Linked DNA regions of Caenorhabditis elegans. The protein of the gene in region 1 purifies or fractionates together with the protein of each later gene. This does not show direct contact. Each region holds a gene or a part of one and is shown on either strand. Other genes may lie near its edges. The genes, in order: C47B2.2 and gda-1.

Region 1 (8,107 bases):
ACAACATTAATTCCAGAATGGCCACCGCTGACGTCAAATCCACCGTCCCACACATGGACATGGACCGTGGAGGCGCGTTCGACTTCTCCAACTGCATTCGTAATCAGGCAATGTGCAAGATGGGCGGAAAGGCTCCAAAGCTCACCAGTACCGGAACCACCATCGTCGCCGTTGCCTTCAAGGGCGGACTTGTGATGGGAGCTGATTCCCGTGCCACCGCCGGAAATATCATCGCCGATAAGCATTGCGAGAAGGTTCACAAGCTCACTGAGTCGATCTATGCCTGCGGAGCCGGAACCGCCGCCGATCTCGATCAAGTCACAAAGATGCTCTCTGGAAATCTCCGTCTTCTGGAATTAAACACCGGGCGCAAGGCTCGTGTGATCACCGCTCTTCGTCAAGCTAAGCAGCATCTTTTCAACTATCAAGGATACATCGGAGCCTACTTGCTCATTGGAGGAGTCGATCCAACTGGCCCACATCTTTATATGTGCTCCGCCAACGGAACTACAATGGCCTTCCCATTCACAGCTCAAGGATCTGGATCATATGCAGCTATCACTATTTTGGAGCGTGATTTTAAGGTTGATATGACGGTAAGTAGTCTATTTTTGAATTCCAATGCGCTAAAAATACTATAATTATATTTTTCAGAAAGATGAAGCCGAGAAGCTTGTCCAACGCGCCCTGGAAGCCGGTATGCACGGTGACAACGCCTCAGGAAACAGTTTGAATCTTGTGATCATCGAGCCAAGCGAGACCGTCTTCAAGGGGCCAATTGTGCCAGAATTCTGCAAGCGACCAGAGCCCAACGACCTCGTCTACAAATTCCAGGCCGGAGCCACCAAGGTGCTGAAACACAAGACCTACAAGTACGACGTCGTCGAGTCCATGGATATCACTCACTAAATTGCGGTCTTCTGTCGATGTGTGTATTCTTTCCCCCAATTATTTATTTTTTTTCGATTTTCCATCCGTTTCGGTGTCGTCGGTGATTACTTTTTTCGGTATTTTCGTATCCGCCGGCAGTTCTTATCACATTTGTTTTATAAATTCCGAATATAAACTGTCTATTTTCCTTAAAACTGGTATTGTTTGTTGTCTTAATTTGGACTGAAAGCCGGAAAAATGACTTGAAAAACGCTTTCAAGTGTTTTTCCCAATAGTAAAAGTTACTCTCCGGGTTTTAAAAGGAAAAAACTGCGAAATGAATAGATTTTCCAGATCTGAATTGAAAACTTTCTGCGAAAAACTAATTTCCACCTGAATTCTTCTCAAAAGTCAAGAGAGAAGAGTCAAAACTCACAAGAAAAAAATAATCCGATTTGAATTGCCGCGCAGAGAGTTAGATGTGCAGGTCATATAGCAAACACGCTCCACCCACCAATCATTGGCGCGAAACATTTTTTTGTATCTTGTTCTGACTCATTTCCCTGCCTTCCCCGTCGTAATCAGTGTCGTTTTTCCGAAAAATTCCAAATTTTATCATTATTTTATCAGTTTTCCATAGTTTACCCTCATTCGGCCGTGTTCCGGCCCTTTCAAAAATGTTTGTTTTCACGTAAAATCGAATTTTGAAGACGTGAAGCTTCTTCAAGTTGAAATTCAACATTTTCAAATCATTTTGCGATTTCACAAGACGGTTTTCTGCTGCATCTTCCTTGATTAATCTCCGAAAGCACGTATGTTTCAAAATGACTCAAAGTAATCCCATTGGGAATTGCGAAATTCCCATTGTTATTCTCTGGGTCTCTTACAACGGGGTTTTGGCTCCCTTGCAGTCCACTCCTTTGCACTCATTTCAATCCGCTCTCCACTGGCGCCCCGCTATTTCGTCATCATTTTTTTGCAATCGATGACTTGTCCACCGCGGTGTCCGATGTTGGGCTATGTTGAGAGAGCGCGCGCGCTCGTGCGTTCTCGGCCCTATTTGGGCTCACTTTCGTCTCTGCTCTCACCGCAATCGTTTCGTTCTCATATAACAATTGTCTTTCTCTTTTAAAACTTTATAATTTTCTTTTTCAGAAAAGAAAATGCGTGAGGTCATCTCTATCCACGTCGGACAAGCCGGAGTCCAAATCGGAAACGCCTGCTGGGAGCTCTACTGCCTCGAGCACGGAATCCAGCCCGATGGAACCATGCCAACTCAATCAACGAACGAGGGAGAGTCGTTCACCACTTTCTTCTCAGACACCGGATCCGGCCGTTACGTTCCAAGATCCATCTTCGTCGATCTCGAGCCAACTGTCGTTGACGAGATTCGCACTGGAACCTACAAGAAGCTCTTCCATCCAGAGCAGATGATCACCGGAAAGGAAGACGCCGCTAACAACTACGCTCGTGGACACTACACCGTCGGAAAGGAGCTCATCGACACCGTCCTCGACAGGATCCGTCGTCTCGCTGATAACTGCAGTGGACTCCAAGGATTCTTCGTCTTCCACTCCTTCGGAGGAGGTACCGGATCCGGATTCACTTCGCTTCTTATGGAACGTCTTTCCGTCGACTACGGAAAGAAGTCCAAGCTCGAGTTCTCCATCTACCCAGCTCCACAGGTCTCAACCGCCGTCGTTGAGCCATACAACTCGATCCTCACCACCCATACCACCTTGGAGCACTCCGACTGCGCCTTCATGGTCGATAACGAGGCCATCTACGACATCTGCCGCAGAAACTTGGATGTTGAGCGACCAAGCTACACCAACCTCAACAGAATCATCTCCCAGGTTTGTTGAGCTCAATTTGATTGTTGTATTCTAATGTTCTCTTTTTACAGGTTGTCTCCTCAATCACTGCTTCCTTGAGATTCGATGGAGCCCTCAACGTTGATCTCAACGAGTTCCAGACCAACTTGGTGCCATACCCAAGAATTCACTTCCCATTGGCCGCCTACACTCCACTCATCTCTGCTGAGAAGGCCTACCACGAGGCTCTGTCCGTCAGCGACATCACCAATAGCTGCTTCGAGCCGGCTAACCAGATGGTCAAGTGTGATCCACGTCACGGAAAGTACATGGCTGTGTGCCTCTTGTACAGAGGAGACGTCGTTCCAAAGGACGTTAACACCGCCATCGCTGCAATCAAGACCAAGAGAACCATCCAATTCGTCGATTGGTGCCCAACCGGATTCAAGGTCGGAATCAACTACCAGCCACCAACTGTTGTGCCAGGAGGTGATCTTGCCAAGGTGCCACGCGCCGTCTGCATGCTCTCCAACACTACCGCCATCGCTGAGGCCTGGTCTCGTCTCGACTACAAGTTCGACTTGATGTACGCCAAGCGTGCCTTCGTCCACTGGTATGTTGCCCGTTAAACTATACTTTTCAAATATTCAATGTGTTTCTTTTCAGGTACGTCGGAGAAGGTATGGAGGAAGGAGAGTTCACCGAGGCTCGTGAGGACTTGGCTGCTCTCGAGAAGGACTACGAAGAGGTCGGAGCTGACTCCAACGAGGGAGGAGAAGAGGAGGGAGAGGAGTACTAGATGCTCCCACAATCAACTGCCTGGCGATTGACTTTTAATTTATTACTGCAGTTCGATCGTCATAAACAATGTATTATGAAGTATTTTATTTATATAATGTTTTTTGTTAAAAAGAGAAAGAATGAAAGTCGGAACACTTTACGTTTATACCGAGTTGAGTGCCGCAGAGCAAACATGTACAAGCCGACAGTATTTGAGCAGCAGACGCTTGTTCTGCTCATCGATCAGTATTAGATTACAGAAATGGCTGGGCATGTGAATGGAACATGTGCTCCAGTGATTCCAAAGGTTGGTGATGAGGAAGACGGTGTCGGGCAGTTGGTGGCAAATCTGAAAGAGAAGGGAACAAATTTTGTTCTTTTGAAGAAGACTCCACAGATACTTGAATTGCAGACAATTTTGAAAGATAGGTATGAAGTTTGACTGGGAATAGACTGAAGCCTCAAACATTTTATGGGTGAAAATTTAAAGAAAGGGGCTGAAAACTCATATTTCCAAGCTCTTTTTCCAGATTTTGCGGAAAAATTAACGATTTTCGGTATTTTTGCCGGAAAAACTTGTTGATTTTAAATAAACTCCTTTTTTGCCTTAAAAAGCGATTTTCTTGGAATTTAGATTTTAAAAATCCGTTAATTCACAAATTTTCGGGTCAGAAACGGCATTTTAAGCGATTTTGCCAGTAAATTAGGAGAAAAATAGAAAACGTTTTCATTTTTTGGCCTTTTTGCCGTGAAATTAACTGAAATTTTGATTAAAAAACGTTTTTTTTTGTTAGAAAACATGAATATATTTATTTATATAAATGAATTTTTCAAGGATTTTCTCGGATTTTGAGTCAAAATTCCGATATTTTCATAAATTTCCGGGTCCGAAACGGTATTTTTCGTGATTTCCTCGCAATTTTAGAAGTTTTCCTTGTAAAAATTGGTTGAGGCTCAGAGAATCTTGTAGTTTGTAGTTTGTAGCCCCATAGCCTCAACCATCTTCCAATTTCCAGATCAACAAATCACTCGGATTTCGTATTCAACGCGGATCGTCTGATGCGGCTTGTAATTGAAGAATGTCTCAATCATCTTCCATTCACTGAGCACACAGTTACCACACCAACAGGCTTCAAATATGAAGGAATTCAATTTAATCGTGGAAATTGTGGAGTATCGTTGTGTAGAAGTGGAGAGGCGATGGAAGTTTCATTGAGACAGTGTTGTCGGTGTATTCGAATTGGAAAAATTCTGATTGGTACGGGAAATTGAGGATATCGAGAGGAATTTGGGAAATTTCCTAGAAAAGGCGAAGAAAATTGAGAAATATAGAAGAAAATGGCGAAAAATCACCAAAATCATTGCGATTTTCATCAATTTCTCCCTGAAATTACCTGGAATCTCTTATAAATGCAGATTTCTGCTTGAAAAATGGAAAAATCTGGTGAATATCCAGTTTTTATAGATTTTCTCCTGAATACCCCTCAAAATCTGTGAAAAGTCTGACTTTTCCTTCAAAAATACCTCTAATTCGTAGAGAAACTCGTTTTTTCAGCCGAAAAATGTTTTTTTTTTTAAATCTGTAATAAATATGTACTGTTCTTATGGTAAAATTCCTGAAAAATATATTAAAAATATATATAATAGTAAAATTTGCGTTTTTACCCAGAAAAGTGGTAGAAATCGTGAGTTTTACTGAGTTTGTCGAAAACTGGCGATACTTTTTTAAAAGAAAAACCTCAAAACTCGCAAAATTTCCAATTTTCATCCACTTTTTGTTACAGGCGACGAACAAAAAGTGCTCTACGCCAGGCTTCTTCCGGATATCACGTCGCGTCGAGTTCTACTGCTCTACCCAACGATAGGGTACGCTCAGAGACTACAAACTACAAAAAATATCTGGCCGAAATAAATTTGATTGAAAAATCTGAGAAAAAAAACACAAAATTTAATGTCAAAAAATCGATTTTCCCGGCGAAAAATCGTAAAATTCAATAATTTGTTTGACGTAGAAACTTTAAAAATGTCGATCACTAAAACTTCCCCAGAAGGCGAAAAATTGTCTAAAAAATTGAGTTTTTTTTTGTGCAAAAAAAATCTTTTTTTGAAATTTTTTTAACTGAAGAAACATTTAAATTTAAAAAATCACATTTTTATCAAAATTTCCAATTTTTCAGATCTGGGACGACAGTTTGCAAGGCAATTGAAGTCCTAAAAGAGGCACGTGTCCCAGATGAGAATATCTACTTGGTTTCCCTATTCATCTCACCGACTGGACTCAAGAATATAACCAGAAAGTACCCGTATATCACTGTCGTCGCCTCCGATATCACATCTCTCTATCCAAATCATTTCTCAACCAGCTATTTTGGTGCTGTCTAGACTAGTTTTGTGTAGTTTGTAGCCTTTTGACACTACAAACTACATCGTTTCCGTTTCAAATGCAGTATTTTTATTCACTTTTCTCACTTGATCATCTCTTCATTTCTCGTTATTGGTTTGTAGTTTGTAGTTATTGTAGTCTTCTTTTTTACTTTTTCACTGTTGATTTCCCCTATTTTTTTTTGACAAAATGTTCATTGAATTTCCGCATAACTAAATTCTTTTGTGTTGTTTTCGGTTCATTAAACATTATTTTAAGATGCAATGACTACGGTAGTCATTTTCTGAGTACATGGTGTGCGTACAGGGCGCTATATTTTACGCGCAAAGTTGAGAGTGAGATTTTTCCTCATTTTTTGGATTTTCACTGCAAATTTAAGAAATTTTACGAAAATAAACGTTTTATTTCAAATTCTATTTGCTACTTTGCATGCAAATTGTTTTTTTTTCATTATATTCTGAAAATAAAATAAGTTAAAATTAGCCGTTTCAAAAAAAGTTTCCGAAACTACGGTAGTTCTCGGAGTACGCAACTTGCGTACCGGGCATCTCATTTGACGCACAGAATTCCTAGTTTATTGTTTTTGGATTTTCAAAATTTCAAACATAGTTTTTGCATTTTTCCTGTCGTTTTTGTGATTTTTATTTGTGAAAATTTATTAGACAGAAAAGAAATTTTCAGTTTTCACGAAATTTACTGGAAAATTTGTTATTTTACCGTTAGGTAACGTATTTTACAAAGATATTTCACTTTATCCGTATTTTCTTATTGTTTTCTTCACTTCAAACGATTGAAAACTGAATCAATCAAATAAATTTCCTATTTTTCAGGTAATTTGTCAAAATGACTGGCTCATCTCGTGGAATTGTCGAAATGACAAAGAAACTGGATCGATTAAATTGTTAGTGTTAAAATGAAATTTGCATCGGATTCAGTTTAAAATTTGCTTATTTTCAGATCGAAGAAAAGACCACTTACGCTTTTAAGCATGCCAGTTGATGTTATGGAGAAAGTTATGAAGAAAGTGGATCCATACGATTGGTATCAAATTTTGAATGTTAGGCAAATGTTAAAAAAAAACCAAATGAGTTTCAGGATTTCCGTCCGCAATTCCAATCGAAATCTTCGAGATTTCGTCGACAGCCAGCACCTCAAATTGGACATTGATGTTTCTATTGAGGGCACTTTTCACACCATTGATATCAATGGAAATCAATCCTTCGGACCTTTCCATCCGGTCGTGGCTGATGATGAAAGAAGAACCATCTACAATAAAAGACTACAGTTTGCTCTCAGAAAATTGTTCGTGGTTATGAAGCTTCCAAGTGCCCAAATTGAAGAGTTCAAACTGGATTTTGACTTTATGGGAAGAGGAAGTGACGAATTTGAAGATATCTACGATATTGGTTCCAGAAGAGTTAGTTTTAAAAATAAACTGTTGAGTGCAAGCCTGAGAACAATCGATAAGGAGTTTGGAGAGTTTCACTGTTTCCAAGCGAAATCAGTTTCTCTGAGTGGACTAAAGGAACCTCGAACTGTGCTCATTCTCAAATCTTTCAAGTCTGGAACTCTCGAGAACATTGAAATCATTAATTCCTACAAGTTCTACTTCAGTTGGCAGCTGACGCTTTCGGAGCAGTGGAAGAATGCGAAAAAACTGAAAACTGGACTTTCCACTGATCGCTACACCGGAATTCGAGTTGCTGAACTGTTCGCATTTTCAAATATCGAATTCACAACTGTAGTATTGTCATCTGATTTGAAAGTGGTATAGAAATTCTTAATTATTGATTAATTAATTTTAGATTTTTTTTCAGTTGGTTGATTCGTCTGCAAAGCTGGAAACTTGTCTCAGCAGGAACACGTATGACAGCGAGGATGACAGCGATGAAGATAGTGATGAAGACAGCGATGATGAGGACAATAGTGGAGTGTTAACGGTGTCAAAAGAAGTGCTCAAAGTGTTCGATCCGAACTTTGTTGGCTATAACGGAACAATCAATTACAAAGCAAATGGATTCGAATATCTCATTGAAGTCACTGAATTCGAAACTAAAATTGTGAAGAAAATCGAATAATCTTCTCATTTTTCAAAATTTGCTTTTGTTTTACTAGTCACATGAATTCTTATTTTGTTACTTTTTTTGTTTTGAAACTGATTAAACCAATAATTTGGGTTACGGCTGAATGTTACCTTCCGTTTAATATTTTGTAATCTTCCCAGTTTTTCTATATTTTAAAAGGAATTCTCGAATAGTTA
Region 2 (8,014 bases), on another chromosome or scaffold:
AAATTCAGCAACAGATTAGTTCTTTGAACTCGAAAAAAAATTATCAAATTTTTCTGGTGATTTTCTGCATACTTTCGGCAATTTTAACGCTGTCTAGATAACAAAAAAAATATTCGGACATCATTTTGGAATTTTTTAATTTTCTTCTTAAAAATTCAGATTTTTTTGAATAAAAAATTTCAATTTAAAAAATTCAACATTTTTATAATTTTTAAAAACATAAATTAAATAATTCAAAATGAAAACAAACTTAAATATTTCAAGAAAAATTCAGATGAATTTTCCAAGTTCTATTTTTTGAAAATTCAGTAATCGAAAAGTTTTTTTTTAAATTCAGCTTAATTGAATAATTTTTTTTAAATAATAAAAACTTCAAAAATTTTCAATCCTAAATTGTGAAAAAAAAATTTCCCAAGTTTGAAAATTTCAGCTCAACTTTTTTCTAGTTCAAAATTTTTTCTTGTGATTCATTTTTTTGTAGTACCCAATTTAATATCTGCTCTTCCAATATACATAGGTTTCCCGATAAGAAGTGTCCAGTTTCTCGGCATTTACCTGCAGCTTCTTGCCCAACTTTAGCTACTCAGCAGCTTCTTACCCAAGTTTCGCCAAAGTCTTGCCCAAGTTTGACCTAAGTTTCACCCAACTTTAGATATTCTGATACAGATTATCTTACCAAACTCTGAAACAACTTTAAACAATCTTTAGCCAAAGTTTCACCCAAGTTTAACCGAGTTGCTACGCGCCACTTCTTACTACCCAAGTTTGGCCAAAATTTGGCCCAAGTTTGGCCCAAGTTTAGGCACACAGCGCTCATCCGCAGCGCTCTTAACGCAATGATTATTAATTTCGAAATCAACTTTCTCTTTTAATTATCGTTAATTTTTCTTCCTATTTCCGTCATATTTTATCATTTTCAATAATTTTTTCTCAATTTTACACATATAATTAACTGTTTTTTGTTTTTTCTTTGACACTCTCTTATTTTATTTGTAAACTATTATTTTATCCTTTTTGTTCTCGAAAATATTTGCCTTTTTCGCTGTTATTTAATTCATTAATCACTTTCAGTATAATTTAACTTTGGAATCTAAATATGGCGCCTCTTAAGAGAAGAAAAGTTTCGGTGAGTTAATAATCCTCATTAGAAAATTAGCAAAAGTAAAATTCAGGCTCCGACTGGAAATGAAAATACCCCAAGATCGACACGTTCCATTCGTCATAAGAGGGAAGATCCAAGAGGGAAGATGAAGCCACTTGCAACCAGTACTCGAACATCTTCGGTTAACAAGAAAAAAAAGAACGATGACGACTACGAAAACTTTTATTCTGGAGAGAACACTATAACGACTATGAAGCCAGTTGTATTCCCAAAAAAACCAGTGATTTTTGAGCACGGGTACGGAATTGAAGACGACATTGAAGACGAAATAGATGATGAAGAATTGGACGACGAAGAATATGAGGAGAGTGGAAACGGAAACGAAGATGAAGTTGAAGAGGAAGTCGGAGTGGAGGAGCAAGAAATTGAAAACAACTTCGCTTATAAAAAAGTCAAGAGTGAAATTTCGTGCTCGCCATTCCTTAAAGAGCATTCTGTACATTCTGTACTGACAAATAATCGCGCAAAAACTGGTACAATTGATTCAAAGGCTGGGCGCACAGCCTATCGAAAACAGAAACTTCGTGAAGGAACATGTTGCTCACAAAGCAATGAGGCAACCGGGGACAGCACAGACAGATCAAGTACCTCCGCGGGATTTGATGTTTTTCAGCATCTACAAAACAGAGCGGTCCAGAAAACTATGATTGGTAAGTCACATTGAAACTAAATCTTGAGTTTAAAGCAAATTGTAATTTTCAGAGCAACTGGAATCAGCGGTTCGAAATCAAGATGTTATGGAAATGGGCAACGTTGTGAAGAAGGGATTAGAAAATGGAACTCTTTCAGAGATCCAGATAGAGGTGCAAAATATCCAAAATATCCAAATATTTAATCTTAATATCTTAATTTTAAGGAATTTTGTAAACATACAACTCGTCCAAACTTCTCGATCCTACAGTTCGTCCAGGCTCTCAGACAATCTACAGAAGACGAGAAAGAGTCTATTCAAATTGCACAGATGATGATGGCAGGCCGTAATTAATCAATTTCATATCCTAATACTTTTTTCAGTTTAAAATGCAGGATCCTAAGGATGGGAATTACACCGCACTTGCAGCAAACGTGCACACCCTGACATCGAAAATTTCAAAGCAGTTGAACGCTGGATGTATCGTGAAACGAACACTTACGATGAACCACACAATTTCACAAGCTGACGGGTTTCCTACGTGTAATCTCACAGATATTTATAACTCTGAACTCTTGATTGGAGGTGATGCCGTCTCGCAACTTTCAAATTTCTATATGGTTGCCTTGAAAACTGTAAGTTGACATTTTGATATATAAAAATAATAAATTCAATTCAGATGCTGGAGCCTTCTTATAAAATCTGGGCATTTACTTACCGACCAAGCTGTGTTCGCCGTGTTGATAGACATTTTCAAGAGTTACCACAAAAAGTGACAACAGCGATTATTGGTGCGTTTAAGATGTGAACAATTTCTAATCACAAAATCATGTTTTTTTCAGAAGTCGCATTCGATATTGTTGGAGTTTATTTGCCGGTTGAGCTGTCATACGGTTCGATTGATAGGGAGCATGAGTAAGACATGAACCAACTTTAAACAATTTTGAATTATTCATTTCATTTCTTCTAGATTCATCAAAACGCTTGGAGAAGGAGCAGAACTTGAGGTTCAGCGCCGTAGGGACGAAAGAATCACAGTGTTCAAGAACGCAGTAGAAGCCCTTGGCAAAGCAATGTAAGAAATCTCGTAAAAATTGTAAAATGTAAAAAAAAATGATATGATTTCAGGAACAATCTTCGAACATATCACTTTGATATTGCCAAAGGAGCACTATTCAACTGCAATAAACCATCTTATTGCGAGCATCATCTCAAGTGGGGACAGGTTCGAAAGTTCAGAGAACAGCATCAGAGGATGGAAACGTCACCAGAAGAAGTTATCAGATTGTAAGTAACTCAATACTTTTAATCGATAAACCAATACATTTTCATTACAGTGCAACCGGTCAACGCAATGAGCATGATGTCTCCGCTGCTGGACGATCGGTCAAAGACTCCACCCACTGAAGCTTAATTTTTCGTTGTTTTTTTTTTGTAATTGATTTTTGTTGTTAACCCTGTTCATGTTTTGTCCTTAAATAAATATTTTCCACAGGAAATCGTCTAAAGAATAAAGTAAAAGCGCGGCATAATTCGCATCTATAATCACCAAGGTCTTGCCCAAGTTTAGCCCAAGTTTAGCCCAAGTTTTACCCAAGTTTTGCCCAAGTTTGGCCAGCTTCTAATCCATGTTAATTTTTCTTGGGTGAAACTTGGGCAAGAAGCTGGCGGTGAATGCCGAGTTCCCCGCAAAAGCTTCAGTTTTTAATTATTTGATCTACCACCTCTTGCACTTTCCCCTGCCACTCTCTCACCTGATACTAGGCCCCCATAAATTTTCAATTTTCTTCCATTTCTCACAAATTTTCTTATCAAAACCTTTTTTAATTTCTTATCAATTAAATAATCTTACAACAGACATCATACCAGAAAAACCAAAAAAAAAAAGAAAGTGCTCGCGGAGCTCACGTGGTTGGCTCGGGCAGCTGGGGGTGGAAAAGCTCGTCGCTGATAAGGGATCACTTTGTGATAAGACGATGATGATCGTGACCTGTTTCAAAGACGTTTTGCCACTTTCGACGCGAATTTTTGGGTTTTTTGGGGGAAAAATTTGTTGCATTTTGTTGAATTTTTAGAATTTTTTATTTACTTTTTTGGGAGTTTTTTCAACAAAAACCCGCCTGCTCACCTCGAAAATTTCCTTTCTTCGTCAGACCTTACTAATTTTTTTTCAGAACCTTCCCCAACTCCTACTATAAAATGAGCCCATCCGCCTCTGATAAGCCTCTCCCACCCCATCACGCTGAGCACATGGCCGAAGCTGTCGCAGAAGCTTGTCGAGGTGTCGAGTGTGGAGATGGTGGACCATTCGGTGCGGTTGTAGTTGATTCAAACGGGAAAGTGGTCGCAAAAGGCCACAATATGGTGCTGGTCACCAAGGATCCGACAATGCACGCCGAGATGACTGCTATTAAGAATGCCTGCAAGGCATTGGGTAGGCACACGAATATTTAGAGCATCTAGTGATAAATTGACATAACATTTGAATTTTACAACCTCGATTTCCTATATTTCTTAAAAAATTTTTTTGCGATTTTTAGGATTTTTTTTTTCAAAAAAAAAGTTGCAGAATTTTTTCTCGAATTAGAGCAAATTTTTTCACATAATTTTACAAGTTAGATAGTTTAAAATTATTTTTGAAAATTGAAAAAAAACAACGATTAACTATTTTTCTGTTAAAAAATGCTAAATTTTTTCGACGTTTTTTTTCGATAAGTTTTTAATTGAAATTCACGTTTTCAGGAACTTTTGACCTATCTGGACATATTTTGTACACATCTTGCTATCCATGCCCAATGTGCATGGGCGGATGCCTTTGGGCTCGATTCGACGCAATTTACTACGGAGCAACTGCTCAGCAGGTGATTTTCATAAAAACTAATTTTTTACACTATTACTGTCTCTTTAAGAGCTTTTATCAATTTTAGTGACGTTCGGGGTTATTTTTCAAACTTTGGGTTACTGTAGCACCAAAAGTACGCAATACACCGGACCTTACGGCAAAATCACAAACTTTTGAAATTTTACCGAATCTGTTCAAACCAGTTATAGACCTAATCTAGAAATTGCCTGTAAAAATCCATAATTTTGTGCATTTTCTCAAGTTCATTAATTTGTGGAAACCCTTGGAAAAAGTAATTTTCAAAATTTTTTACTAAAAAAATCGAATTCTGCACCTTTTTTCAGTTCAATTTAAAAAAAAACTGTGCATTTTGTCGTAAGCTTTGGTGCACTGCGTATTTTCGGTGACACAGTAACCCAAAAAAAAAAACCTTTTCCAAATAAAACAAGTTCTTCCAGGCGGCCGAGATTGGATTCGACGACAAAGCATTCCACGACTTCCTAAAAGACCCGAAAAGCGATGAAATCCGAAAATTGGAGCATTTGGCAGCCGACAACTACCTACTCCCATTCCAAATGTGGTCCAACAAACCGGACAAGACAGAATATTAATTGGAGTATTTTTTTGAAAATTGTTTCGTTAAATAAAATTTGAAAAACATATAAAAAGACAAATACATTGGGACGGTTGGGGAAAAATTGGCAAAATTGGCAAAATTTCAAACTTTTTTTAGGTAACTTTCAAAATCATTTGCTCGGATTTTGTAGCTTTTGGGTATTGAGATGTTCGATATCGATTTCCACCCGCCGGACGTTCAGTTTCAGCCACTTTCATGAAGTTATCGACCTGAAAATTAAAAAAAAAAATTAGAAGAAAATTTGTTTCCTGGCTATCAAATTTTCTGTTGAAAATCTTGTAATGTGCAGGGTTAGAATTGAAAAAAAAACGTTTTTAGTAAAGAAAAGTGCTCAAAGTTTTGTTTTTTCAGAGATATGACGCATTACGGGTTACTTGTGCCCTAAGAGTACGCGATACACCGAATCTTACGGCAAAACGCACAGGTTTTAAAACGTGGCGCCAATCTGTCCCATTGCGGTTTGATCTACAAAAAATGCGGGAATTTTTTGCCTAAAAAAATGTGAAGTCAACACGTTCTTAACCATGCGAAATCAGTTGAGAACTCTGCGTCTCGTTTCCCGCATTTTTTGTAGATCTAAGAAGATCAAGCCGAAATGGGACACTCTGACACCACGTGTTTACCCAAAAAGCATATTTTGCACAATTTTAAAGTTTTGTGCATGTTGTCGTAAGATTCGGTGCACTGCGTACTTCCAGAGCTACAGTAACCTGTAACTTCGCTAAAATCGTCATATCTCAACAACGATTGATTCTACTGAAAAGTTATCAACTAACAAATTGTTCTACACAAAATTTTGCACATTTTATTAGTTCTAAACTATTTTTTAAATTAAATACCTGCAAAGATACAAGAGTTTCAAAAAAAAAATTTTCAATGACACACCAGCGGAGCTAATTTGGTTTTTGTTTTCTATCAAAATTTTATTCTCAAATCACTATTGCATAAGCTTGTGTGAGTGAAAAATGCACATTTATTCATCAAAAAACACACGTTTTGCCATTTTCTCACGTTCTCGCGATTTCAGTGAGAATGCGACTTGAGCCTAAAGTACATTGTTGGAAAAGCTAATACATAAAAAAAATACTCTGAAAAATCACAAAACTCACTATAATTGTGATGGGCAATGCTAAAACCAAGACTCCACACGCGATTGCCCCAGTTGCCACCAGTTTTCCAGCTGAAATTAAAAAAAAATTTTTTTTTAGTGAAAATTGAATAAAAAACTAGGCTTAAATAGTTTTTAAAGATTTTTCATGTCAAAATTTGTGCTCACCGACATTTTTACCCTAACCAGCCTTTTTTTGCGCAATTTAAAAAATCTGTGCATTTTGTCGTGAGGTTTGGTGTACTGCGTACTTTTGGCGCTACAGTAACCCAAAACTTGAAAAATAGTGCCCAAAATATATGCCCAAGGGAACAAAATCACAAGAAATCTGAATTTTTTAAAATTAAATTAATTTTAAAAAACTTACGAACTGTAACCGGAGTCAGGTCCCCGTACCCTGAAAATTTCGTTTTATATTTTATTTTAAAATTTTCAAAAATTTCCGAAACAAAGTACGTTACAACATTTATATCTTACCGACTGTTGTCATGGTGACAATACACCTAAATATCAGTTTTTTTTCAAAAAATTTCAAATATTTTTGGAAAAAAAGTGTCTTACCACCAACACGCCGCCGGAATTGAATGGAATTTTGAAGCGGGCTCGTCTTTTTCCAAAAAATATACCAAAGTCGAGAAAAATATGACACCTGTCATTACAACCATTGCCATCATACCCAGTTGACGGAATGACGCCTGAAAATTGCCAATAAAGGGGCGGAGTCAAAAAGCCATTTTTCTTTCAAAAAATTTTGGCGCGAAATCAAAACTTGGACCTACTTTCAAAGTTTTTCCGAACATTTGCAGACCACTGGAATATCGTCCCAACTTGAGCACACGAATGACTCTGAGCACTCGAAGAATTCGAATAACAAGGAATGCTCCTTTGAGGTCCCGTAGTTGCTCCGTTGATATTCCAAAAATTAAGAGAAGCATTTCTATGATAAATGGAAGGATAGCAAGTAGATCTATGATGTTGAGCAGTTGCCGGAATGTCTTGCTCCTCTCAGCACTGACCAACATTTTTAGGCCTGAAGAAAAAACAGTAACAATTTTTCAATGTACGGAATTTTTTATTTTTGACTGTTTTAAGAAGCTTTTAGAAATTTGCCATGTCTTCCAAAAATTTACAAATTTTTAGCAGGGTTTTGAATTTTCTAGAATTTTCGTTGAGTTTCGCGCCTAAAATTTTCCACAAATTTAAATTTCGCCCCAAAAAATTCCCCGCAAAATTTAAATTTTCTGCCAAAATTGTTTTCATAAATTTGAATTTCCCGCCAAATGTTTTTCATAAAAGTTGAATTTTGCCTAGTTTCTTTTTTGCGAAAATTGAAATTCCCGCCAAAAAATCCCCCGCACAAGTTTTCTCACAAAACTTTAAATTCCCTGCAAAGTTCGTCGCACAAAATTTGAATTTCGCGCTAAATTTTTATTCGGAAAATTTTAATTTCCCGCCAAAACGTTTTTTTTACAAAATTTGAAATTGCCTTACCGTACTCCATAGTAAACCAAACAATGCAAACATATTCGATATATCCTAAAATTGGCATAGGCTCCATTTCCGTGAATTCTGTAAAACAGGTAAAGAAAAGTTGAAAGCCCAGAGCGACGGCCAACATACCTTCCCCAGTCAAA

The links.
Region 2: the proteins of C47B2.2 (region 1) and gda-1 fractionate together in Caenorhabditis elegans (co-fractionation; one large-scale study listed by BioGRID). This does not show direct contact.

What each region holds. Positions count from the first base shown.
Region 1 is NC_003279.8:12,960,190-12,968,296, reverse strand, and holds C47B2.2 (Phosphoribosyltransferase domain-containing protein), read left to right. Parts: upstream 1-3,717; 5' UTR 3,718-3,726; coding exon 3,727-3,893; intron 3,894-4,480; coding exon 4,481-4,722; intron 4,723-5,248; coding exon 5,249-5,330; intron 5,331-5,641; coding exon 5,642-5,846; 3' UTR 5,847-6,255; downstream 6,256-8,107. Other genes in the region: pbs-2 (Proteasome subunit beta), read left to right, coding at 18-596, 655-909; tba-2 (Tubulin alpha-2 chain), read left to right, coding at 2,034-2,726, 2,777-3,297, 3,351-3,483; fbxa-140 (F-box domain-containing protein), read left to right, coding at 6,836-6,888, 6,943-7,615, 7,665-7,925.
Region 2 is NC_003281.10:11,022,520-11,030,533, reverse strand, and holds gda-1 (CMP/dCMP-type deaminase domain-containing protein), read left to right. Parts: upstream 1-3,967; 5' UTR 3,968-3,992; coding exon 3,993-4,227; intron 4,228-4,535; coding exon 4,536-4,654; intron 4,655-5,093; coding exon 5,094-5,246; 3' UTR 5,247-5,295; downstream 5,296-8,014. Other genes in the region: Y48A6B.8 (Wsv161), read left to right, coding at 1,097-1,126, 1,173-1,812, 1,865-1,965, 2,019-2,132, 2,177-2,428, 2,473-2,584, 2,636-2,708, 2,764-2,868 and 2 more; putative voltage-gated potassium channel subunit kvs-4, read right to left, coding at 5,365-5,481, 6,382-6,452, 6,748-6,777, 6,858-6,883, 6,942-7,075, 7,160-7,410, 7,872-7,949, 8,001-8,014.